Drosophila melanogaster: one gene and its partners. Changing the gene in region 2 together with the main gene of any one other region gives a genetic interaction. Each region holds a gene or a part of one and is shown on either strand. Other genes may lie near its edges.

What was found. A genetic interaction does not mean that the proteins touch.
Region 1: of Nsf2 (region 2) and Bacc, changing one suppresses a phenotype caused by changing the other (phenotypic suppression), as found in Drosophila melanogaster (one study listed by BioGRID).
Region 3: of Nsf2 (region 2) and CG32650, changing one suppresses a phenotype caused by changing the other (phenotypic suppression), as found in Drosophila melanogaster (one study listed by BioGRID).

Annotation. Positions count from the first base shown.
Region 1 is NT_033779.5:2,749,617-2,759,116, forward strand, and holds Bacc (bacchus), read left to right. Parts: upstream 1-2,828; 5' UTR 2,829-3,224; intron 3,225-3,378; exon of another isoform or gene 3,379-3,452; intron 3,453-3,616; exon of another isoform or gene 3,617-3,755; 5' UTR 3,756-3,798; coding exon 3,799-4,044; intron 4,045-6,391; coding exon 6,392-6,554; intron 6,555-6,628; coding exon 6,629-6,678; 3' UTR 6,679-8,304; downstream 8,305-9,500. Other genes in the region: HemK2 (HemK methyltransferase 2), read right to left, coding at 8,934-9,500. UniProt on the Drosophila melanogaster protein: Negatively regulates tyramine beta-hydroxylase tbh and thus the conversion of tyramine (TA) to octopamine (OA).
Region 2 is NT_033777.3:13,830,555-13,839,706, reverse strand, and holds Nsf2 (N-ethylmaleimide-sensitive factor 2), read left to right. Parts: upstream 1-1,715; 5' UTR 1,716-1,794; coding exon 1,795-1,904; intron 1,905-2,004; coding exon 2,005-2,329; intron 2,330-2,964; coding exon 2,965-3,930; intron 3,931-4,169; coding exon 4,170-5,027; 3' UTR 5,028-6,210; downstream 6,211-9,152. Other genes in the region: CG31495 (uncharacterized protein), read left to right, coding at 1-933. UniProt on the Drosophila melanogaster protein: Required for vesicle-mediated transport. Catalyzes the fusion of transport vesicles within the Golgi cisternae. Is also required for transport from the endoplasmic reticulum to the Golgi stack.
Region 3 is NC_004354.4:12,896,307-12,901,654, reverse strand, and holds CG32650 (uncharacterized protein), read left to right. Parts: upstream 1-2,985; 5' UTR 2,986-3,067; coding exon 3,068-4,108; 3' UTR 4,109-4,152; downstream 4,153-5,348. Other genes in the region: Flad1 (flavin adenine dinucleotide synthetase 1), read left to right, coding at 1-109; Coq8 (coenzyme Q8), read left to right, coding at 700-2,132, 2,200-2,752.

The sequences.
Region 1 (9,500 bases), on a different chromosome or scaffold from region 2:
GCTGGCCATTCGGGGGTTTTCTAGCCAAAGTGGCGGGTTTTCAAAGAACTAATCTGCCCAAAGGACCAATTGTAATGTGAGCACATCACTAAAATAATCGATAGATTGCCATATCTGATGGGGTTTTGGGTGGCTGCCTGGGAGACTGGGGTGCGTATAAGCCTATTTGGGGCACTTCAGATGCAGCATTGCAGTGGTAGCGGCTGTCCTCCTTCATCCTTCAGCCAGCCGTCGGAAGAATGTCCACTCACACGTCACGGCTGTGGTGCTCTGCGCAATTAAGGCACCGCCGAGGACCCGGGTACCCACTGGTGATGACACCACGGCGCTGCTGCTGGGTCAGGTGGTATTGGAAATCGAAGACAATGGGGCTGCTTAAATTCATTTTAATAATTGCGTGTAAACCGCCCGTTGACGCAGGTGAAACGCAGGCGAGCAGGTGAGCCGGGCCAGTACATATACCTGGTCGAGTCGCGTCCATGTGGCCCGGCACTCGTGTGGAAACATTAGCACATGCCGGGAAAACGAGACCCGACTCCGAAAGTGTCCAATGCGACGGCGACGGCGATGACGTGCTAGCGCTAGAGATCAAGAATCCAGAGAGTCAAGCAGCCAAACAACAGCCAAGCGACCAAGCGAATCGCCCATCTAGCAACAGTCTAACAATCACTCTAATCGAGTCGTAAACCTGTTCATGTTGTTCCACCCAGCCATCTTGTTGGGTACCTAAGCGCTAGAAGGGACAGCCTATGGTGGCTATTCGTATGCGCTACAATTGGTTTTGTATCTGAACGGTGAGCTGCGCTACTCTTCATACATTGTTTACCATGCTATCGATGATATCATATCGAAATAAAGCTGTCAAAAGAACTGAAACTTCCGTTTTTGAAAAGCCTAACAACCCGATTAGAAGAAATCTATTAAGCACCGCATTAAGCTGAAAGAGCGAAAAACTTAATCGCCGTGAATACAAGCTGATGTGTGTGTTTTAGATACACATGCTAGCTGAAGCGTCTGGCTATCGATTGTGTTTGCATTGAGATTTGTTCGCACCTTTATGCTACAGCAAATTAATGACGCAACAACGTGTAAGTGCACTGGGAGAAATTCCTGAGGCAGGTCAGTAACGACAACGGTCGGGGAAAAATCCCTTGCGTTAGTTTCGTGTTCGAAAGGGCCATAAAATTTCCGAATCGACAGATGTTTGGGTTCCGGGAAGCAGGACCATCCATCCATTTCTGCCTGCTTGAGATCCTACCTACCCGGTGGTTGCCTGCATTTGAAACCGTTGTCTAACCTTGAAGTAACTACGGTCGTACCAACCAAGCCGATAACTCGAGAAATTGGCACAGGTTGTCCTCAGGAATCTAGATACCATTGTTCAACACCGAGAGGTGGTCTCACAAGCCCGATGAGCACGACTATTCGTATCGCGAGAGACCCACCAATCTTGGGCCGACGAGCGTCAAGCCACTCGAACGGATACTGAGAGTTCGGCGGACGGAAAGTGAGACAGTGACAGCCAGAGAAGAACGGTAGGCGGCCCATGGAAGCACAGCGAAATGGAGACGCAAATCGGCTTATCAGGCAGCGATGTTCAGGCAAAAAGTCATCGCTGCTCCTCAAATATGTGATAACTGAGTGGACGACGGGCCACGATTACAGGTGTTTACGTTCACCATGCCGCCTCGGTTGGGATGCCGCGGAACATGTTCGCCGGTTTTAATTAGCGATCCGCCTGTCGACAGTCGTCCGCTCGCTCTGTCGTCGACCGTATTATTCAGATTACCAGATATATAGCCTAGGTATTCGTATTTGCCATTGCTTTCGCACGAAAATAGCTGAAAGCGTGAGAGGCTGTCCAATCGAAACTCGACTGTTGGATACCCGGCAAACGATAGTTATTACCCTTTCGTCGATAGGCTACTGGAAATAGCACCAAGAACCTTATGTCTTCCGGTCGAATTCCTCTAGTATTACTTTATGGGTTGTTATTCCGCTCGTTAATGTGCACATTTTGAATGAACTTGAAGATCAACCTCGCAGTGATTGTCCCACTGATAACACAGATTTATAGAGAAGAGCCAGTACAACTCGAGCACGTTGACTACCAGGTGATATGGGCGATATGTTATAGCCTACTCGGCAGTTCCAGTTTCCCATATATTGGGCGATTCCTGAACCCACTGGGTTCGTGCGGCGAACGAAGCCATCACCATCAAATGGTCGAACCACAAGTGCGGGATCAACAGAAAGATTGGCACATGAAAAAAGAGTCAAGGGTGGACCCAATTCGACGAGTGATAGGCATTGGCATTTAAGTCGAAGTCTTTGGTGGGGCCATTAGGACTTAAGGATGTTTAATATTTCTGGAAATTGCCGATTTCGAAAACTAACCCTTAAATGTTTTCGAATCTTATGGGGTTGCAAATTGCTGTTTTCTTGCTATTTCTCCAGTTCTCTAATTCTAGTTTTAAGACGCATAATCCCGGAATAGAGCATTTCCCCGATTGCGTGCATCTAAATAGTTAGAATCTCAAAAATAGCTGCCCGCTTTCCTGGTCCGCGAAAATCACCTGCTTCCCCACACGTTACCAATCAATTGACCCCAATCCGCGACGACATTGCGTCCCACGCTGGTCCACTCTATAAATACGAATACCGTGCTGAATACAACACACAGCACACACATCTGCATCTGCGGCAACAATGCTGCAACACTTCTTCCCATCGGCAACATCCACATCCACTGTTCTGCTCTGTTCTGTTCTGTTCCACCGACGAACGGTCAGAACGCCACAGAGTGACTGCACCACACACACCACACACCACCATCGCCGCTACCAACCCCCAGACCCCGCCCCCAGGCCCACAAGCGCACCACTGGCGCGCGCAATTTTCAAATTTACCGCCAAACGCGCCCACAACCGTACTCACGGAACCCAAGCAGATTTTGTATGGAATTAATCAGGAAACCCACTCAACTTGTCATTTGCGGATCTAGTTTTGATCGCAGCGCCTCGGGAAAAAGCCCAAAATTAAGCGGATACTACCAGCTATAGCCTCGATCAGTCTCTGAACCGATCCGAACAAAGGTATTCAAGTTATAGGCAAAAATGTCTGCAACCGATTTGGCGCAAGAAGAAGCAAGCGGCAATTTCTAGCCATCGAACGGACGGCAAGCTCAGTCTTGTACGAACCGTCGACGGGAGCACATATCGGTGGTTAGCAAACCAAAGGAAAACGGATATTCCATACATCAGTGGGGCCTACGAGTAAATCCTTTTGCCTGCCGTAGCGCCGCCTGATATATGGCACCTCCTAAAGCCTTACTATATAGATACTATATTATCAGAAAATCACCGCAAAATAATATACCAAAAATCCAACGATCGCTCTGCTCTGGGCTGTTGTTGTTGTCTTATCGACTGCGGCTGTACAAATGCCGCGGCGATTTTTTGAGTGTATTGTATGGGCCAATGGCGTGGGAGAGAGAGAGCGAGTGAGCGTCGTAACGATTTCGGGGAGAGCGAAAAAGAGAGCAGCGAGAGCGTTTAAAGAAAGTTACTCTCTCCTCGAGAGGCAGTGCTTAAATAGACGGCCCGCAGCTGAATCGCATTCAGTGTGTTTGTGTGCTTCGTTCGGTGCGGTTCTCTCTGTCTCTCTCTCGCCTTCCCCGAGTATTTTGCGCTGGTTTTTTGTCAACAACAAGACAATCCACAAAACCAACCCGAATTGTTCTCTATATAACGCAGAAACTAAATAGTTCCGGAAAACCTCAAAGAAACCAATTCAAATATGTCGGCTGCTACGGAACAACAGAACAACGGCGATGTGGCCGTGGAGAAGGTGGCGGCAGATGATGTGTCTGCTGTCAAGGACGATCTCAAGGCGAAGGCGGCCGCCGAGGATAAGGCCGCTGCTGCCGATGCCGCCGGCGACGCGGCCGACAACGGTACGTCAAAGGACGGCGAGGATGCCGCCGATGCCGCCGCCGCTGCCCCCGCAAAGGAATCCGTGAAAGGCACCAAGAGGCCAGCAGAAGTGAGTACTGATCTATGTGACTAGGTAGTTGTTTACGCGGTAAAACCAAAAGGAGGCCCCTCTAATGATTCACTCCAAGCCAATATGCCAGTAGCATAGCATTGTTCGAGGAAAAATTCTAGAAATAGATATACACACGTTTTTCGGAACAGCGCACTCTCCCAATGGCTTACATATGCCCCCAAAAGAGAGAGCGTATAGCTGGCTCGGTTGTGCGTTTGTGTTGTTTACGATTAACCAAGATGATTGCGGGTCCGGCAATCAAAGATTATTGTTGTTAGGTTCAAATCGAGGTTAGGAGGGCCGCCGTGCTTATATAGGCGGGGAGTACAGTTAGCCAGGGCCTTTTCTTTGGTGGGGTGGGTAATGTGTTTTTAATAAACCCATAGGTCATTAGCATTGACGTGTCCGCTGAACAGCGTTACCCAGCAATAGATACATTGTGGCATTACGTCTATAACTCATACGCTTGGCCTTATTTATCAGTCGCTGTGGCTACGGGAATTGCAAATGCAAACGCAAACGCAATTCAGCGCGATGCCAATGCACTCTCTCAATGAAAACACACATTGCCGGCCGGTAAATTACTCATGTCATGTTTGGCCACTTTATTTTTGGTTAGTATCGCCAAGAGCACGCGGTATTCGAACAAGTTTTGGGGGCCTGAAGCAGTCGCATTCCATAATCGAGTAGCACATTTCTTGATAAAAATAAAATAGTTCGGCCAGTAAGGCAGATAAATTGGCAAATCAAGCGCTTTTCTCAGACTCAAACTCGAAATAAAAATGTACAGTTTAACGGGAGCGTTCTCTCGCTCTCTCTCTCTCTCCCCGGAGAAAGATAGATACAAATAGAGAGCGCTGCTAACTCTCTCCCTCGTAATTTGTATACACACCGTTTTGTCTGTTTGCGTATGTGCTTACATTTATCTTTCACTTTTTTTTCTGCTCTGCCTTATGCGTATTTATTTTAGTACATAAAACAAGACGGCTAAACAGGGTGTCGCAAAAGTTAGTTGGGTTTCTTCGGGATTCAATTGAATAATGATCATTATCCCATGATCATGAATTAGTTGAGATACGTTTGGCACGGATAATTCTTAGTGGTACAGTAACGAATTGTATAGATTTCAAGAATAGTTTTGAAAATTATTCGTTGGTTTCCATATCTTTCGATTCCAAACAACAGATTAGCTTTTGTCCCTATAAATGTATCTTCACGCTTAGAAAACACAAACTAAAACCTCTAACTAAATCAAGATACATTGATTACCCAGTTATAACACCAGTAATAGTAGGCTTAGTTCTTGCCAATACAGATACACCCTGTTCGTCTTAATCCTCTATTGGCCTTTTCTCGAGTTCTGGGTCTCGTGACTTATGCTGTAAGCGAAGTGAAAAAGGGGGGCGATGGGTGGCCATTAATTTTGCACATTTTTCCACAGTCCGATTGTTTTTCGCTTCTTCCGCTTTGTAACAGTCTGGTAAATAGGGCCCTTGTGTTGCGGCTTCTCTTCGACTTGGGAACGTGACCGCCTATATACTGCCATAAACCATATACCATTATGTGTATCTTGTTGTTGGTTGGTCAGCGGCAAAAGTTAAACCCACGCATGTTGTTGTTTTGCGCCTTTTTCGCTGCCGACGTCGCTGCAGCAGCTGTCGTTCGGATGGCTGTGAGTGAGAGCGAGAGATTCATTCATGCAGTTCAGGTACAGTTTACAGTGCTGCGGATTCAGATGCTCTCTCTCTGGCGCTCTCGCCCGCTCTCTATCTTACAGGGCACGCTTCGTTTCGTATCTCACGGATGCGGATACATATGTCGCTGCCGGCGTCGCTGCTTATTGTTTTTTTTTCCTTCCCCCTTATGTAGTAAATATGTCGCCTTGTACATACGGAGCACAGATGTAATGTAGCGCGGTTGCACTTGTAATCCACTCTCTCACGTACTCTCTCTCCCGCTGTCTCTTTTTGCCGCAGCGAATTACATTGGCGCGCGCATTTTTCAAATGTTTTTTTACGGCGAAAATAACGATTTTCGTCGCTGCTTGTTTTGTGTGCTGAAAATATACATTTTATGACTATGTACACACGCACAGGAAGTTGAGAGGGGTATTGGATGCCCTTGATCAAGGAGATGTGTGGGTTTGAGTTGGGCGCGTAGGACCATTTCGCTCCGTAATTCTCCCTAATATCCTTTAGTTTGTTTCTCAGATTAATATCAAAAATGCATAATTAATAGTGACGGGCCCCTTATTTCTGTTCAATAAACTTGCTTGTAATACAGTAAATCATCAGCGGAACAAAAACCAAAGGAACTCTACTAACTTCTCTTTTTTCGCTTCCAGGCCAAATCCGCAGAATCAAAGAAGGCCAAGAAGGCCGCGGCCGCCGATGGAGATTCCGATGAGGAAGAGGCTCTGGAGGAAATCATCGAGGGCGACAGTGAAATCGAGAGCGACGAGTACGACATCCCCTACGATGGTGAGGAGGATGACATTGAATGTGATGGTGAGTTCACGGAAGCACTTCCCTTTTCCACATCAATCTAATCCCCGGATTTTCCCTTTCCCTTACCCGCGCAGATGATGATGATGATAATGATGACGGTTCCGGCTCGGACGATCAGGCGTAATAATAATGTAGTCAAAAATACAAACAAAAACAAACAAAAATTTAAATTAATAATAAATAAAAGTTACAAGCAAAAACAAAACAAAAAAAATATAATAATAAACCAACAAGCAGAAAATAAACCACAACAAGGAGAAAATGAGGAGGAGGAGGAGAAAAAAACCACAAAAAAATCGCAAAAGTATATAATTTTTATGTTTAAGAAATAATTTTTTATTTCTTACCTTATTTTAATTGTATTTTATGTGTACTTTTTTTATAAAAAACTACAAAACAAACAAAAATTGTAATTGAAGGCATTTTCGTATAAACGCAACCTATACGGAATCCAACAAAAAGTAAACATCCCCACTATATACAAGAACAAAACAAAACCAAAATCTTTCTTTCCTTTATCTCATAAGTCCTAATTTAAACGCCCAGTTGATGCGTAAACCAAGATATACAAAGATTTCAAATGTAGCGTAAACGAAGCCCGCGAATTAAACACAGATACACTACACTCACACACACACACGATATTCAAATTCATTATTAAATTAGACGTTACATTTGTGAATGAATGATCGATCGAAAGAAGCAAAAATACAAAAGTGAACATTTGAAAATGAACATGATTATGAACATGAAAAAGAAACAGCAAATGCAATTAAATACAAAACAAATAAAACATAAAAATTGTATTTAAATAAATCGCAAAAATCATTGAAACCCCATACTCGACAAGCATTCAATGACACTCAAGTTTTAGCTATGGTTTCAAAAATTTCGCGCCCATTGTGGCCACAGTCACCCGAATTTCCCAAACCCAAGGCACTGGGACTTAGTTGGTCTTCGCTTTTGGGGCAAATACAAAAAAAAAAAACAAAAAAAAATGAAAGGAAAACATCGGGAAGTTTGAGTTCTAACCTTCTGTTTCGTTTCAGCATTTAACTATAAACTATGACTAATCTTAAGTACTTATGTCAGTATTAAAGCGAGGGCTTTATTATTCTGTTGATAAGTTGTGCGAGCGAGTCGTTGATAAGCCTAATTCATTTGTAAATTGTAAAAACCAACTCGAGAATCGAAAAACGAGCAAGAAAATAAACTTTTAATGTTACATGTATCTAATTAGTAAGGGCATCCAAACTATTTATACACACACCCCGTACGACGAGTTCTCAATATAAACATATAACGACTGATATTTCAAAACGAATCGTGCCCAGCTGGTCAATCACGGCACTCGACACCGAAACCACCCAACCACCACCATCCTCGAATCTAAACGATTTGTCCCGGAAAGACAGACCAGCCCAACATACACACACAATCCACCCACTGACCCAGATCCAAACTCCAAGAGGCTTAAAGCTGGTAATGCCAACCAGCAACTGAATAATTGAGTGCAATTAAACCAATATGCCCAAGATAAATCATCCGATTTGATAACTGATAAACAATAGCGATATCACAGACAATGTTAAAGAACTATGCATTTTTGTAAATACCAATTACTCATGTATCTGCTCCGTGCGAGAATAACATCTAGTAGCGCGAAAGGGCAAAAAGAGAAAAGAACCACGAATCGAAAACGAGAATAAGAAACAATTTTGAACGATGAAATAAATTATTGTAATTACGTAAAAGCGAAAACCGTACGTACATACCACCCATTTGGCATCTGTTCCGATGCCAATAAAAGTTTGTTTCAATTGCAGTTGGCCATTTTGGGTGGGGCAATCACCTCGCTTCGGTGTTCCCAGGGGTAGTAGTTCTTAGCCAGGAGCATGTACGTATGTAGGTACATAATTCATAGATTGGCCGCCCCTACATTACTCCGATCCATCCCTTCCATATCCCAGTTTTCGTTCGGGGGTTGACGAGCTGGTTCCCACAATCCTCCCTATGAAAGAAATCATATACTAAGGGATGATGGAAAAATTCAATCGGAAATTTCCTTTGATTAAGTACCTTTTTCGGATTGAAAATCGATTAGCCTTAGCAGATGCCTATTAAAAAAACGAATGATGAAATTCCGGGCTCTTCGTTGGGCAAATGAAGTTGAGCTACTTTTATATTCAAATTCAAATATAAGCGCAAAAATTTCTAAAAGTTTAAGAGCTTTTAAGTTTCATAAGCCATTTCTTTCATTTATTTCAACTTTTATTAAAATTATTCTCCATATTATTTAGTATCAAATTTAAGAATAAACGCCTAAAAAAGTTTATCTTTTAATTAAAATACAACTTTAATTTGATGCTATTGCACGAGTCATGATGATGCCAAGTACCTGGTGACCTTCAGTATGCACAAATGCTCGCCAGGAATGCGTCGCTCCATGAACTTAACAGCCCGGAACTGGAGGCCCTCTAAGTATTTGATAATCTCCTCCGGCTTGTTCTCCCGCAGCAGGAGTAGGTAGAGCACGCCTCGAGGCGAAAGAATGTCATCCAATTGCTTGAGTAGAATGTCCGTGACGCGTCGCCCGTCCTGTCCACCAGCCCAGGAGAAAACCAGATTGCGATCCGTTGAGGATTCGCTGTGCGAATCGAACTGTTGCGTCTGCAGCTCCTCGTCACTGGTGACTACATAGGGCGGATTGAAGAGCAGCACGTCCACGGATCGCGGACGCAGTGCATCCGCTAGGCTGCAGCGAATGCTATCCAAGCGAGCGCCATTCCGAGTCGCAGTTCTTCGAGTGGCATTGCAGGCTTTGGGATTGATATCCGTAGCTAGGCACAGCGAAAAGCCAGCCAGTTTCTTGGCCAGCGCCGTGATGATCACACCCGAACCGGAGCCCAGTTCGACGCAGAGACTCGGCTGTAGCCGGTCCAGGTA
Region 2 (9,152 bases):
GTTTGCGCACGCGAAATTGCAATGAAAACCAAAAATTTCACGGAGGACGAGCTGTGCCAACTGGTCCGAGAAGCCCTCCATGAAGCCATTGTCCGCACTCACGTCACCAGATGCCCGAAGGGCCTTCAAGTCACTCAGGTCGATCTCCTGGCCGCGGTAAAGATCATTCAGCCACGATTTGGCCGGCAGGAGGAGACTCTCCAGCTGCTCATGCCATATGAATATCTAGATCGTACCGCTTTCGATCCGAATGATCTCCTGTCCACCGGACGCCCAAGATGGTCTTGCCATCTGGTCGAAGGTAAGCCCAAGTCAGGCCTAACTACGGTGGCCGCTCAAATGGCTTTGAAAACAGACTGCCCTTTTATAAAATACATCTCGTCGGCCGAATTGCTGGGACTTAGCGATTCCGAAAAATGCCAGAGAATACGGGAAGTCTTGGAGGACGCCTATGTTTCCAGGCGCAGCTGCGTCATCATTGACGACTTTGAGCGTGTCATTGGTTACGGCGCCCTGGGTAAGCGGTACTCCAAGGAGTTCCTGCAGAAGCTGACGGTTCTTCTGAAGAAACAACCGCCCAACAGCCACGAGCTCATCATCATTTGCACAAGCAATCGTCTCGATGTCCTGGAGGAACTGGGCTTGCTATCCGTTTTCACTTCAGTTCACAATGTGCCAAATGTTTCCACGCCTAAAGAACTTATGGTCATAGTGGAAGCTTCAAAACGATTCGAGCCCGAGGAGCTACGCCAAATCGAGATCGCCATGGATGGCCGCAACGTCTCCATTGGCATCAAACGGTTGCTTGACTTGATTGCGTGGGTGAATTCCCTAAATCCCGACCGTCGAGCTGCCAAATTGCTGAAGAAATTGGGCGAAGCAATGGGATGGGTAGGGAACCATTCTAGTCCACTTGTACCTCAATACATTTAAGACGTTAGGTTAGGAAATGCAATATTGTATCTACAATTCCAGGAAAATAATTCCAAGTGATTCCAAATAATTCAGTAATGCTTTATATTTAAAAGAACCACGTAAGCATAAAAAAACCATCTAAAAAAATAATATTGCATTATTTTTTGGATGAACTTGCTTCCATTGCATTGCAATGTTCTTAAGACTAAAATGAACAGCCCGATAATGTGATTGCAAAGATACTAGATTATTATATTATATATATATTATATATACACCAGGCCAGACCTCTCAGTGGCCTTCGCCTGCTGTACGGAGAGCATTCCGTCCTCCAGGAGTTCGGTGACCGGTGGGCCCAACATCTCCTGGGCTGCTCCAAAGGCGGGCTTGATGTCGTTGTCCAATATATATATATATACATAATTATATATATAATATATATTATATATTATATATATATATTATATTGTTCTAGTGTCTTTGGTGATTGGCATAACAAGTTTTATTACCATATTATATATATATAAGTAAAAATAAAGATATTTGAATTGCAAATGCCACCCATTTTATCGTTATTTACTTAGAGGATTTGGCTTTTGATACAACACATTTTTTGGATTGTTTTCTTCACCAATCCTGGTGCTGCAGAGCTGCTTAGCAACAGCGAAGAAGTCTTGAATGCGGGGGATATATGTATTATTAGAAAATGCAAATGCGCGCCAATGAATTCAAATTTGCACTGCAGGTGCCGTAGCAGGCATCTTTTGCTCGCAATCACAGTGCATACACACACGCAATGCCGAACAGGGTTGCACTCCCTCAACGGGCTATCAGCTGTTTGAGACAATTTCGGGATTATATTATAAAATTGCTACGAAAATGTCAATTGAAAAAGCCCACCGGATGAGAGCGATCAAATGCCCAACGGATGAGCTGTCCCTGACGAACAAGGCGATTGTGAATGTGTCCGATTTCACGGAGGAGGTCAAGTGAGTGTTGGTTTTTGTTGTTTTTCCACTTCCTACGTGGGCGTACGAGCCTATGGAAACTTTCGCTTATGCTAATGACGCACCGCTTGATACCCTGCAGATATGTGGACATCTCGCCGGGCCCGGGGCTGCACTACATCTTCGCGCTGGAGAAGATCAGCGGGCCGGAGCTGCCGCTCGGCCACGTCGGATTCTCGCTGGTCCAGCGCAAGTGGGCCACGCTCTCCATCAACCAGGAAATAGACGTGCGGCCGTACCGATTCGATGCCAGCGCCGATATCATCACACTGGTCTCCTTCGAGACGGACTTCCTGCAGAAGAAGACCACCACGCAGGAGCCCTACGACTCCGACGAGATGGCCAAGGAGTTCCTCATGCAGTTCGCCGGAATGCCGCTGACCGTCGGCCAAACGCTCGTCTTTCAGGTAATGGTGTGGATGTGGCTCCCCCATAAATGTATGCAGTATAGAAAAATAGATAGCAAAGGACTGAAACTAAGGTAGTAATCTGGAGAGGATTAGTGATATATGCCAGAGCCAGTTAAAATACTACCCAATTCAATGAGGGTTCTCGGTTTATCTCGGACGCACCTATTCATTATTTCACCATTTATTGTGTGCACTTATAATAATTTTGGTTTTGTATAACTTTACAAAAAGATTTATACGTTCATAGCATAGCGGTAGTGAGAATATTCGTTATTTGTGTTATTCGATATTCGTTATTTTATATTTACTGACGTGTCTTGATTGTCATGAGATGCTGAATCTCATATTCCACATTTAGACGGTGACCTAATGCAAATATTAACAAGGTAGCTTACCTCCAACAATTAGAAACCCAAAGACACGTAACTCTCCCTTAGATCATCTTTTTGGCTCTCTGCCAAATCTTTTTTAATAATTCAGCATACAATGTCCCCCTTTTTTATGAACTAAAAATAGTGTGTTAGGCTGCCCTCATAGGAAATGCAACTATCTTAACATAGTAATTCTTCTAACATGCTCCTTAATGTACATATATCGTTCGTTTGCTAATAAGGATGTTTACCGCCTTTCAGTTCAAAGACAAGAAATTCCTGGGCCTCGCTGTAAAAACGCTGGAGGCAGTGGATCCCCGAACAGTGGGCGATTCCCTACCGAAGACTCGGAACGTACGATTCGGCCGCATCCTCGGTAACACGGTGGTGCAGTTCGAGAAGGCCGAAAACTCTGTGCTAAATCTGCAGGGTCGCTCCAAGGGTAAGATCGTGCGGCAGTCCATCATAAATCCGGACTGGGACTTTGGCAAGATGGGCATTGGTGGCCTAGACAAAGAGTTCAATGCGATTTTCCGACGCGCCTTCGCCTCTCGTGTTTTTCCGCCGGAACTTGTCGAACAACTGGGCATCAAGCACGTTAAGGGTATTCTGTTGTACGGACCACCAGGCACGGGAAAAACCCTGATGGCCCGGCAAATAGGTACCATGCTGAATGCCCGCGAACCCAAGATCGTGAATGGACCGCAGATCCTGGACAAGTACGTGGGTGAATCAGAAGCCAATATCCGGCGACTGTTTGCCGAGGCCGAGGAGGAGGAAAAGCGCTTGGGACCGAACAGTGGACTGCACATCATCATCTTCGACGAGATCGACGCCATTTGCAAGGCTCGCGGATCCGTGGCCGGTAATAGTGGTGTCCACGACACGGTCGTCAATCAACTGCTAGCCAAGATCGACGGCGTGGAGCAGTTGAACAACATCCTGGTAATAGGAATGACCAACCGGCGGGACATGATCGATGAGGCCCTGCTGCGACCTGGACGCTTGGAAGTGCAAATGGAGATCAGCTTGCCCAACGAGCAGGGTCGCGTCCAGATCCTGAATATCCACACCAAGCGGATGCGTGACTTTAACAAGATAGCTAGCGATGTGGACAACAATGAGATCGCGGCCAAGACAAAGAACTTCAGTGGCGCAGAGTTGGAGGGTCTGGTTAGAGCGGCCCAATCCACGGCCATGAATCGGTTAATAAAGGCGGACTCCAAGGTATATGATGCACAGCATGGCGTGAAAGCAAAGAAAGGGGGTTCTCTTAATTCACATTCGGATCGAAATGTTATTTTATTTATTTGGCGTATTCGCTTATTTCATTTATCTCTCGGTTTGCGTTTCGGGTTTCGTTTAATTTCGAGTAATTTGGTTTCGATAAACCAAGAAAGCGATTAACGTTCGACTGTTCCACTATTCTAAAATTACCATCATCATTTGCTTTTCTACGATCCAAGGTTCACGTGGACCCGGAGGCTATGGAAAAACTGCGTGTTACGCGAGCCGACTTTCTGCACGCATTGGACAACGACATCAAGCCCGCCTTTGGAGCAGCCCAGGAGATGCTGGAAAATCTGCTGGCACGCGGAATTATAAACTGGGGCCCACCGGTCACCGAACTCCTGGAGGACGGAATGCTCTCCGTACAGCAGGCGAAGGCCACTGAGAGCTCTGGCCTGGTGTCTGTTCTCATCGAAGGAGCTCCCAACTCCGGCAAATCAGCGCTGGCCGCTAATCTGGCCCAGTTGAGTGATTTCCCATTCGTTAAGGTCTGCTCCCCGGAAGATATGGTAGGATTTACGGAGTCAGCCAAGTGCCTGCACATCCGCAAGATCTTCGACGACGCCTATCGCTCCACATTGAGCTGCATTGTGGTGGACAATGTGGAGCGATTGCTAGACTACGGTCCAATTGGACCCAGGTACTCTAATCTCACGCTGCAGGCGCTATTGGTTCTACTGAAAAAGCAACCGCCAAAGGGTAGAAAACTGCTGATCCTGTGCACTTCCAGCCGGCGGGACGTTCTCGAGGAGATGGAAATGCTCTCGGCTTTCACGTCCGTCCTGCATGTGTCCAATCTCTCAACTCCCGAGAACGTGCTTGCCGTGCTGGATGATTCTGATTTGTTTAGTCCCGAGGAGCTGCAGAGCATTGCCAGGAAAATGGCGGGTAAGCGATTGTGTATCGGCATCAAGAAGCTGCTGGCTCTCATCGATATGATCCGGCAATCGGAGCCTCACCAGCGGGTTATCAAGTTCCTCAGCAAAATGGAGGAGGAGGGCGGTCTGGAAATGGATAGGGTGCAAGGGCACTAGCTACGCCTTTAAATTAATTTACATTCCATTATCAAACAGCAGAGTGGTTCGATTTGATTGATTCAAACTGGAAAAACGGTTATGTGTTTACAATTAAAAATATATATATATGTATTAAAACAAAAAACCGTTACAAAAATACTTATAACCTTTTGGGAAAAAAGTACAACGTAATATAATATAATAATATATTCCCATATTTCAAAATATCTTACTTGCAGAGTGGGTTTCTATAAAATTCTATACTTTCGTGAAACTTTGAAATTAGTTGCCTTCAAGCCTAATACACAGAACCGGTGACCACTTTTATTGTTTATTAGGAAGTGTATAATTTTATAAACTCATATTCTGCAAATCGAAGAAATCGACCCACCCTAGTGCAATTTTATGATTGTGTTTTTTTTCCCGCTATCAAAAGGGAATCACAATGATAGGTTTCAGCTGCAATATAATATTCTAACGCTATACTTCGCTTAAGTTCCACTAAAAAAAAAAAAATATAATAAAGCGTAACTGAAGACCAACTTGTGAGATAAAGTCAAGTAATTTGTAAGTTTTGAATTTGATGATACCAACGAACTTAAAGTACTCGCATTAGCGACTAAGGATAATCCGTCGGTGTCCACCATGAAAATCTCAGTTTGAGTGCACAGACTTACATAGAGAATTTGATACCAACATGATGTATTTTATAAGGATTTTACGGATATTGCATTTACCATGATAAATAAAAAAGACAAAAATCCGATGATGCAGCCCTAATAGATTGATCTTTTAAATCAAAATTGAATTAAGATGCTTAAGCGTTATACCGATACTTAAGAACTATAATTCTGAAAGTTATTTTACAGAGCGCACAGTTTTGAATACGTGTGATTTTTATTTACATGACTTTTTACCAAAAACGAAAACAAATCATTTTTGTTATATTTTTCTTTACATCCATAAGTGAGATCACTTTGGGTTTGAAAACTAGCTAAAGAAGGTGCATGTCTTAGCTACAATTTCTGAATTTCGATCGAAGCTTTTCGAAAAACACGAAATATATGTGAATCATTTGTAAATGGATATGTCTTTTATGGATAAACTTGATGTGTACCAACGGGATAACAAACTAATTTATGTAATTTACCCAATAGCTAAAAATAAATGGAGTTTTCCCAAAGACTATGGTCTTTTTAATAAGAACGGCTGAAACGATCTTTAGTCAAAAATATATATAATGCAAATTGATTGATTGCCTTTTCTTTTCGTTCCAGGACACATTAGTTCCCTTGGTAGTTTCGGAGTGTAGCAGCTTGAATTCTTTGAAAACTCCTATTTATTTAAATATTGTTTTTTCTCGGCGATCGCCGCCCGACAGCTGTCCGCTTGGAAGGCGTCAAGTGGTTATCATACCATGTACTCACCCGATCCGATCCGATCAGTCCGATCCATCGATCAGCTGTTCGCGACAAGATCCGACGCCGGAACCCAATCAGAGCAGTGGTCAGCTTGGCCGAGGTGCTGACCACAGCCAGTCGGTCGGCGTAATATGCAATTTGAATAAATGATTTATAATGAAAACACCTTAGCGGCGCGTCGTCTGCGTATACGTAATGTGGAGCGGAGTGGAGTGCCACACTGCTCGGTAATTGATATATGGCGCTAATTGCGCTCGACGCCCATTTGTGGTCCAGTCCAGCTTTATCAGCGGCAGTCGTCTGAGGAATCCTGGGTAGCCATAGCCATAGCCAACAGTCATGGTAGCACCCAAAGCCATGGCCATGTCGCGACGGTGTCAGCTGCTAGTCAGCGCCACTTATTAACTAATTAAAGCTGCATATTTGCAAAGATCTGAAAATTGATTTGCATTGCCAATTGCCCCTGGAACTGCTCGACACAATCATGATTTTGCCCAAAGGGTAGGGGAAATTCTGGACATCGTGATCGTAAAGATTTTCACACTCCAAATATACATTGTAAATGTAAGGACTATTAGTAAGTCTACGTATAATTGAAACTATATGAAAAGCAACATGATTACTAGGGTATGCCCCTGCATAAGACTTACATTTTAGTCTAATGCCTTATTGGTCATGTGCAATACTTGTGATTTTATAACCCTTAGATGGGTTAAATTGGCATGCCCACAAGGTTTTTAAGCTTTTATAGTTTATAAATGTTCCAAAAGGTGCATTTGATTTGATTTTTTTATTTAAGACATACGATTTATACCAACAAATATTAAAGACGAGCTTTGCATCTTTATTTCTGCGGACTGTGACCGAGTAAGGATCCTGTCCGTAATTAGCACTTGGCAAGTGCGTCCGAATCGCAGGAAAAGTCACCCACCCACCCGGCAATCGATGGGTAATTATAATTCGCGGATTTGGGGCCCGGCCAGCGCGTCAGTGAGCGGTCGCTCACGTATGCAAAACGCTTGGTGACGAAAGTCCAGTCGGACAAAGATCAACGACCGGGCCAAAAAGCAAAGCTGCGCTGCCGGCAGCAGGAGCCAAAATTAAAACCGAAACGGATTTTCATTCACCGCCTGTAAAAATAACGAAACTCTTACAAATTCGTTTTTTTTTTTTGTTATTAATTATTAAAGCCAGCAGCGGCGCACTCTCTGCACTTGTGAAAAGTCAATTCTCCGGCGCACAGTGTATCATAGTGTATTATTTTGCTACATAAGTCTTTATTATTAAATCTTCTTTAGTGTTTTTGTTTTAAATGAATAATGAAACTTAAAGTATCTATAAAAATTCCTAGAAATACACTAAATATTAAGTAAATATTATTAAAAAATACGTGTACGTACGCCTTTAACACCATTTTTATTATTTCTTTTTTTATTCTAAATCACTGTGCGCAGTCGCGCCTCTCGTAAACTTTGAAACCGGCCCGGCTTAGTTGTTTTTGTTGCTGCTTAAAAGCGCAAACGCCGGCAGCGAAGGTTCGATTTCACTTTCGCACGGTGTCCCCTACCCCTCGCTTCTTTCTCCCTCTCGCACCAGCGGACCACCCCCTGACCGGCTACAGCTCCCCCCCCCCACCTCACCCTTCGCCCCACGAGCTGGCGGCCCATCTGGGGTGTCATGTTTTGAGCTCTTTACGAGCGGACGACGCTCTCACCTGCTTTCTTTCGCACAGAGCTTGTGCTTTCGCTCTCGGATCTTCGATCTTCGATCATCAATATGCGCGATCTCCGATCTGCGAACTGCGATCTTCCATCTCGCATCTGCGATATCTCAAGCTATCCAGAGAAGATGATGCGCTTTTCCAGCAGATTCGTACCATCGATTCGTTTGAATCGACATGGTGATCTACAGATATTTTGGCGCCACATGCAAATCCCACGGAAAATTGTCAAAGCACTGAAAAAAACAGGTATGCTGAATAATTTTCAATAACACGCTTGATTGTTTGAGTTTCCACAATGTCAACTTTTGTATTTGTACTTTTTAAAGAAATATAATACCTATGGATACCTGGAATTGCCTTAATTATATGCCCTATTTTTTTTCCAGTGATTGCAAAACTTACAAGCGTGCATATACATATGTACTTTCAGCAGCTCGGGGAAAATGTAAAGCGAATACAAAACAAACATCATGGAAAATCTTCCTGCATTACACAAACGCGGAAGATTTTCCTCGTACTCGCACATTTCATGGTTTTTCCAAAGCTCAACTAGCATTTTCGTGGCATTTCCATTGATGTTTTCGAGCTCTTTTTCCTTCTGCGCTTGTGTGTGTGGTAGTTAGCATGCGAAACTCGCAGATAAATTAGTATTTTTTGGCGCTGCCTAAGCTACAATTTTACACTGCGACTGTTTTGGGTTTTTTCTTGGCTTTGGTTTCGGTTTCGCTCTTCGCCTGGTTTTTTTTTCATTCATTTCATTTTCCCCTTTGCAATTTATAATTGAGTTGCAATTTGGCTGGCAACTATCTGTGGAATGCAGAGGGGCGCGGGGGCGGACTTTTCGCGGAACTTGCATGCGTATTAGTCATCAACTGAGTGGGGAATAAAAAACGCATTGGTCGAAAAATTTGGCAAGAAAATGGGGAATTAACCCACCTAGCAAGCTGCTCTTAAGAATGAGTTGAATATTTCATTACCAATTTGTCAGAATTTACTTTT
Region 3 (5,348 bases), on a different chromosome or scaffold from region 2:
TGGTTCTAATTCCGATGCCGTCTGCTCCTGCGATCTGGGTGGCTATCGGCCCGCCTGGGAGCTCCAGGATGCCACCATGGAGCGTGCTGGTCGCCTGCCCAGGAAGTAGGATTCCATTTGCGTGGCTATAGTGTAATTGAATAGCTTAAACTCCAGTTAGTCACGAAACTTTATATAGCTGTGTATATATATTAACGTGTGATCTGGATTTCGGTAAACAAACTTAATTTAGTAAAATTTTGTACGACCTAAGGTATGCCGCTGAATAAATGTGGCCTCTGTTAGCAGGCCACTTAAGCAGTATTCCTAGTTTTTATGGAGTATTTAAATTTTTAGTTGTTTAGTTGTTGAATGTTTCTTTCTAATTTTGCATAAAAGCTGAAGCAAGCTAAAAGAGCCAAAGAAACAGCACTGGCTTCAGTGCAAAATCTAGTGCTGCAGCAAGCTGGCTTTTAAAAGCTAGAAAAAGCTCAAGATGCCATGGTGCCACTGTTAAAACGCCAGCATGGCAGCACTAGATGGCCAGTCAGCTGTTTTGCCAGCTGATTTTCGCCGCATTTTCACAACATTACGCGATTCTTTGAACTTTTTTTGCTGTGATATTTTTACGAGATTTACGTAATCCTACGCGCCGATCATCACCAGCGAATCACCCACGCGAGAGCAGTGCACAATAAACCAGTATTTCCTCGCTCCGCGATGTCGCGATCCGCACAAGAAGCTGCGGCGCTGCTGCGGGGACTGCGGATCTTGTTGGAGGCGTGTGGGCGCGAGCATCTCGCCCACGGTCGTCATCTGTGGAGCAATTCAAGCATTCGTGAGCTAATCGCCGAGAATGTGGCGCACACACAGCAGCTGGTGAGAAGTTCCAGTCAAAATCCCACCGAGGAGCTGAAAAAACTGCAGCAAACTGTAAAAGAAACGGGCGAAAGGGGCTACGTGGTGGCCAAAGGTATTTGCTCGCTGCTGGAGACGAAAATCAAGATGTCCCGCGAGGAATCGGCCATCTCTGAGCCTGCACAAGTCTCCTCAATTCGTAAATCCACACCCACGGCACAAAATCCAGCAAGTTGGGACGCCGCCAACTTGGATATATCATCCATAACGCTGCAGGAGTTCGAGGAGATACTCTCGCGCCGGAACAAAGATCGTAGTGTTAGCTTGCGCACCCCGGCAACCAAAAGCAACCAGACCATGCCCAAAAAAGAAACGTCAACCAATCCGGGCATCATTACCCAGGACACGGAGTATGTAAACAATGTGCTGCGGTTTGTGGCGGGCGCCAAGGTGGAGGAGCAGCCACCAGATGCGCAGCCGAAGAAGAAGTCCGACCAGCCGGCCATTGAAGTGCCCGAACTGAGCAAGGTGGCCAAACAGCGCAAGGTTCCCTCCTCCCGGATAGGCAGAATGGCCTCCTTTGGCGGCCTGTTCGCCGGCCTGGGCCTGGGAACCCTCAACGAGCTGACCAAGGGTGCACTCGGCCTGGGCGGTTCGACCAGCATGCGAGAGGCGTTGCTCAGTCCCGCCAATGCTGAACGCATCGTGGACACGCTATGCAAGGTGAGAGGAGCTGCCCTGAAGATCGGACAAATCCTGAGCATACAAGATTCCAGCGTTGTGTCGCCGCAACTGGCCAAGGCGTTTGAGCGGGTGCGTCAGGCGGCGGACTATATGCCCGATTGGCAGGTCGAACGCGTGATGAACACCCAATTGGGTGCCGATTGGCGACAGCGTCTCAAGAGTTTCGAGGACAAACCCTTTGCGGCTGCCTCCATTGGCCAGGTGCATCGGGCAACGCTGAGCGATGGCATGGATGTGGCCATTAAGATCCAATATCCCGGTGTCGCCCAGAGCATCGAGAGCGACATTGACAATTTGGTGGGCATGCTGAAGGTGTGGGATGTCTTTCCACAGGGTTTCTTCATCGACAATGTGGTGCGCGTGGCCAAACGTGAGTTGCAATGGGAGGTGGACTATGATCGCGAGGCGGAATACACGGAGAAGTTTCGCGAAATGATCGCGCCCTATCCCGAGTACTATGTACCGCGTGTGGTGCGCGATCTGACCACGTCCAGCGTTCTGACCACCGAACTGGTGCCCGGTGTGCCGCTCGATAAGTGTTTCGATCTGAGGTAAGCTAATGATGCAAACGCACATGCATATAGTAATCAATGGGCTTCATTGAAAATTCACTTCCAGCTACGAGCATCGCCGCCACATAGCCGCATCCGTGCTGAAGCTCTGCCTGCGCGAGCTCTTCGAGATTGAGTGCATGCAGACGGATCCGAATTGGTCCAACTTTCTGTACGATGCGCCCAGTCGCCGGCTAATGCTGATCGACTTCGGTTCGACGCGCTTCTATAGGCATGAATTCATCCGCAACTATCGCCGGGTGATCATGAGCGCCGCCGAGAACAATCGTCAGGGCGTTTTGGAGATGTCGCGCGAAATGGGCTTCCTAACCGGCTACGAGACGAAGCAAATGGAGCAGGCGCACGTGGATGCGGTGATGATATTGGGCGAGATCTTTCGCTACGACGGTGATTTCGATTTCGGTCGACAGAATACCACCGAAAGATTGGCCGCCCTGGTGCCCACAATGGTGGCGCATCGATTGTGCCCGCCGCCCGAGGAGATATACTCCATTCATCGCAAGCTATCGGGCATTTTCCTGCTGTGCGCGCGTCTGAATGTGCGCATGAATTGCGTGCCCTTCTACAAGGACATCGTTCTGGGGAAGTTCAAGGACTAGTGAGCACAGCTCACCCCTCTTCCCTTGACCATTTTCTTTTTTTTTTTTTTTGTCCAATCCAATCCCAGTTGTAAACCATAAGTGCGCTTAATTTGTAAATGCGATTCGCTGCAAGATTACATATGTTAATTTCCCAACTAACGTGTTTATCCTTAACTGACTGGGTCAGGGTTAGTTGTCAATTGAATTGGAAACAAGTAGGTTTTGAGCAATCCCCAACAGCTAACACACACACACACACATTTTAGTTAAAAACCCCAACAATAAAACACTACACAAAAAAAATATATATACATTGTATCTAATGCAAAAAACATGAAGACATTTGTGAAGACCCAAAGCATGAAGAGGAAGAACGAGTTGTTTCACCATGATTGCGTCTCGGACATCGACGGATCCGTATCCGATGGGAGCGAGGAGTTGGAGGAGCAGTCGCCGGAGCAAATCGAGGAGATAGCCTGGCCGCAAATGAAGCGTGAGATTGGCGCCATGAATCGAACGCTGGACGAAATACAGGCCCAGTTGGCCATCGATTTTCACGAGCGCGACGGCGGCAGATCGTGTTGGGAGGAGGAACAGGAGGCGTTGGCCAAGGGCCTGGAACCGGAGGACTCGCGCTGGATGATCATGCACGGTAGCAGGGAGGCGGCCTTGCGAGAACTGCAATGGAATAACCTGCGCATTCGCAGGCAACTGGCGGATCTCGTTCGCTGCTCGGAACTGGGCAGAGCACGCATCTCGGCACTGGATCGTCTGTTCCAACGGCAGACGAAGGAGCTGGTCGGGTGTCGGCAGGACCACGAGCGCGTCCTCTCCTTCCACCTGACCAAGCAACTGGAGGCGGGCAAGTGCCTGCAGCGCTATCGCTACGCGCGTGACTTGTACGCCAGCTGGCGTGAGCTCTTCAAGATGGGTCGCCACCTGAAGGAGGCCTACAAGAAGATACTCGAGCGCACGCAGTCTCGCTTGGAGTATGCAGAGATCAAGCGGCAGGCACTCGACGAGATGACGGTGGCCCACGAGATGTGCCTGGGCTCAACGCGAAGTCTGTTGGCCCGCGTCCGGGATCTGGAGCTCGGCCTGGCACCGCTGGGCTTCTCAAGGCCATCGGTTATGTCCCGCAAAATCGGTAGCCTCGGCACGTCTGGCGCCGGGCATGCCGATAGCAATCGCGCCGAGGAGCATCCCGGCAGGCCCGTCTGGGTGAAGGCCAAGGCCTGGCAGCGTCGTTCCTATCGGACCGTCAAGTTCTCCCGCGGCGAATTGCTCGAGCTGCCGGTGGTTGTGCCGCCCGAGGCGAAGACCTGGTACGGCAAAATGTTGCGCATGCTGCACAATCCGCCCAAAATCTATTAGTGTTTGTTTGCCAATTGTTTAGCTCATTTAAAGTAATAATAAACAAAAAATTCAAAATAAGCAACAGTTTTTTTTTTATTCAAGCGCACTGTTAGCTAACATTGCTGCTTAACAGGCAGTTAGCAGCGAGCTGCACGGTCACACTGATAGCGAAAGCGCATTTCCCGCCGATCGGCTAGCCGGTCACACTGCAAACCGTCGCGTTTCATTTCGCGAAGGCTGCGCGCGCGGATTACGGTTAATTTTCAGTTGGTTTACAAACTTTACAAACGGCGTACGCTTATCGCGATCGCTTTTAATCAACAAACCGAATTAGTTGCCAAAATAACGGGAATGACACAGGAAATGTGCTGCCGGTGCTCAAATGCTAGCTTAATTGAGTGAAAAAGTGCAAGTGATCGAACTGCAACGGTTACAAAAAAAACGGTTGTTTTTCTCTTTATTTTTGTTTTATAAACTAAGAAATCGTTCTATAAATTGCATTTATTTGAATATCTGTAAGCCCGCGTTTATCTCAAATGTACTTGTGCGCGCCACCTGTTTTTTAATTAATATTTTACTACAATCGGCGTGATAAAAAGTGTATGAAATTCGTTATTTTTTTTATTTTTTTGGTTTTTGTTGAGAGTGCAAGATCGTGCAGCTTGTGCGTGTGTGTGCGTTCAGTGTGCTTGTGAGGAAGTTATAGTTTAATGTTGGTTAGCTTCAATTGTCGAGCAACAGAGAAAAAAAGAAATAAATAAATAAAACAGCAGCAGCAACAACAACGATGTGATGCTGATTGATGTCACACACACCACGAAGGAAAAAAAAATAAAAAATAAATAAAGTAAGTAGCAGACAATTGGATTTGCATGGGGGAAGAAGAAGAGCGAAGAGCCGAGTTTATCAATGAAAGTGAACTGTGGGAGTTGCTCGCTTTCAGTGGGTGTGTGTGTGTGTGTGCACAGTGGCGCAGCCAAACGGGGATTTCTGGGGTTAATAACCCCCAGCATACCGGGCACTGTTATCGAACCGAGCATACATCTATCGAAAATATCACTCGCTAAATGTGATTTATCGAAAGTTTACATATCAAATTATCGGGTATTAAAGTTTGCTTTGGTAATCTTTAATCGGTGTGAGAATTAGGAAAATCTAACTTCAAGATCATTTCTAGCGTAACATTACTCTCAGATAAGAACATGAAGGATTTATATATGCACTAAGAATGTGGAATATTGAAAGCAGGCATTATTTT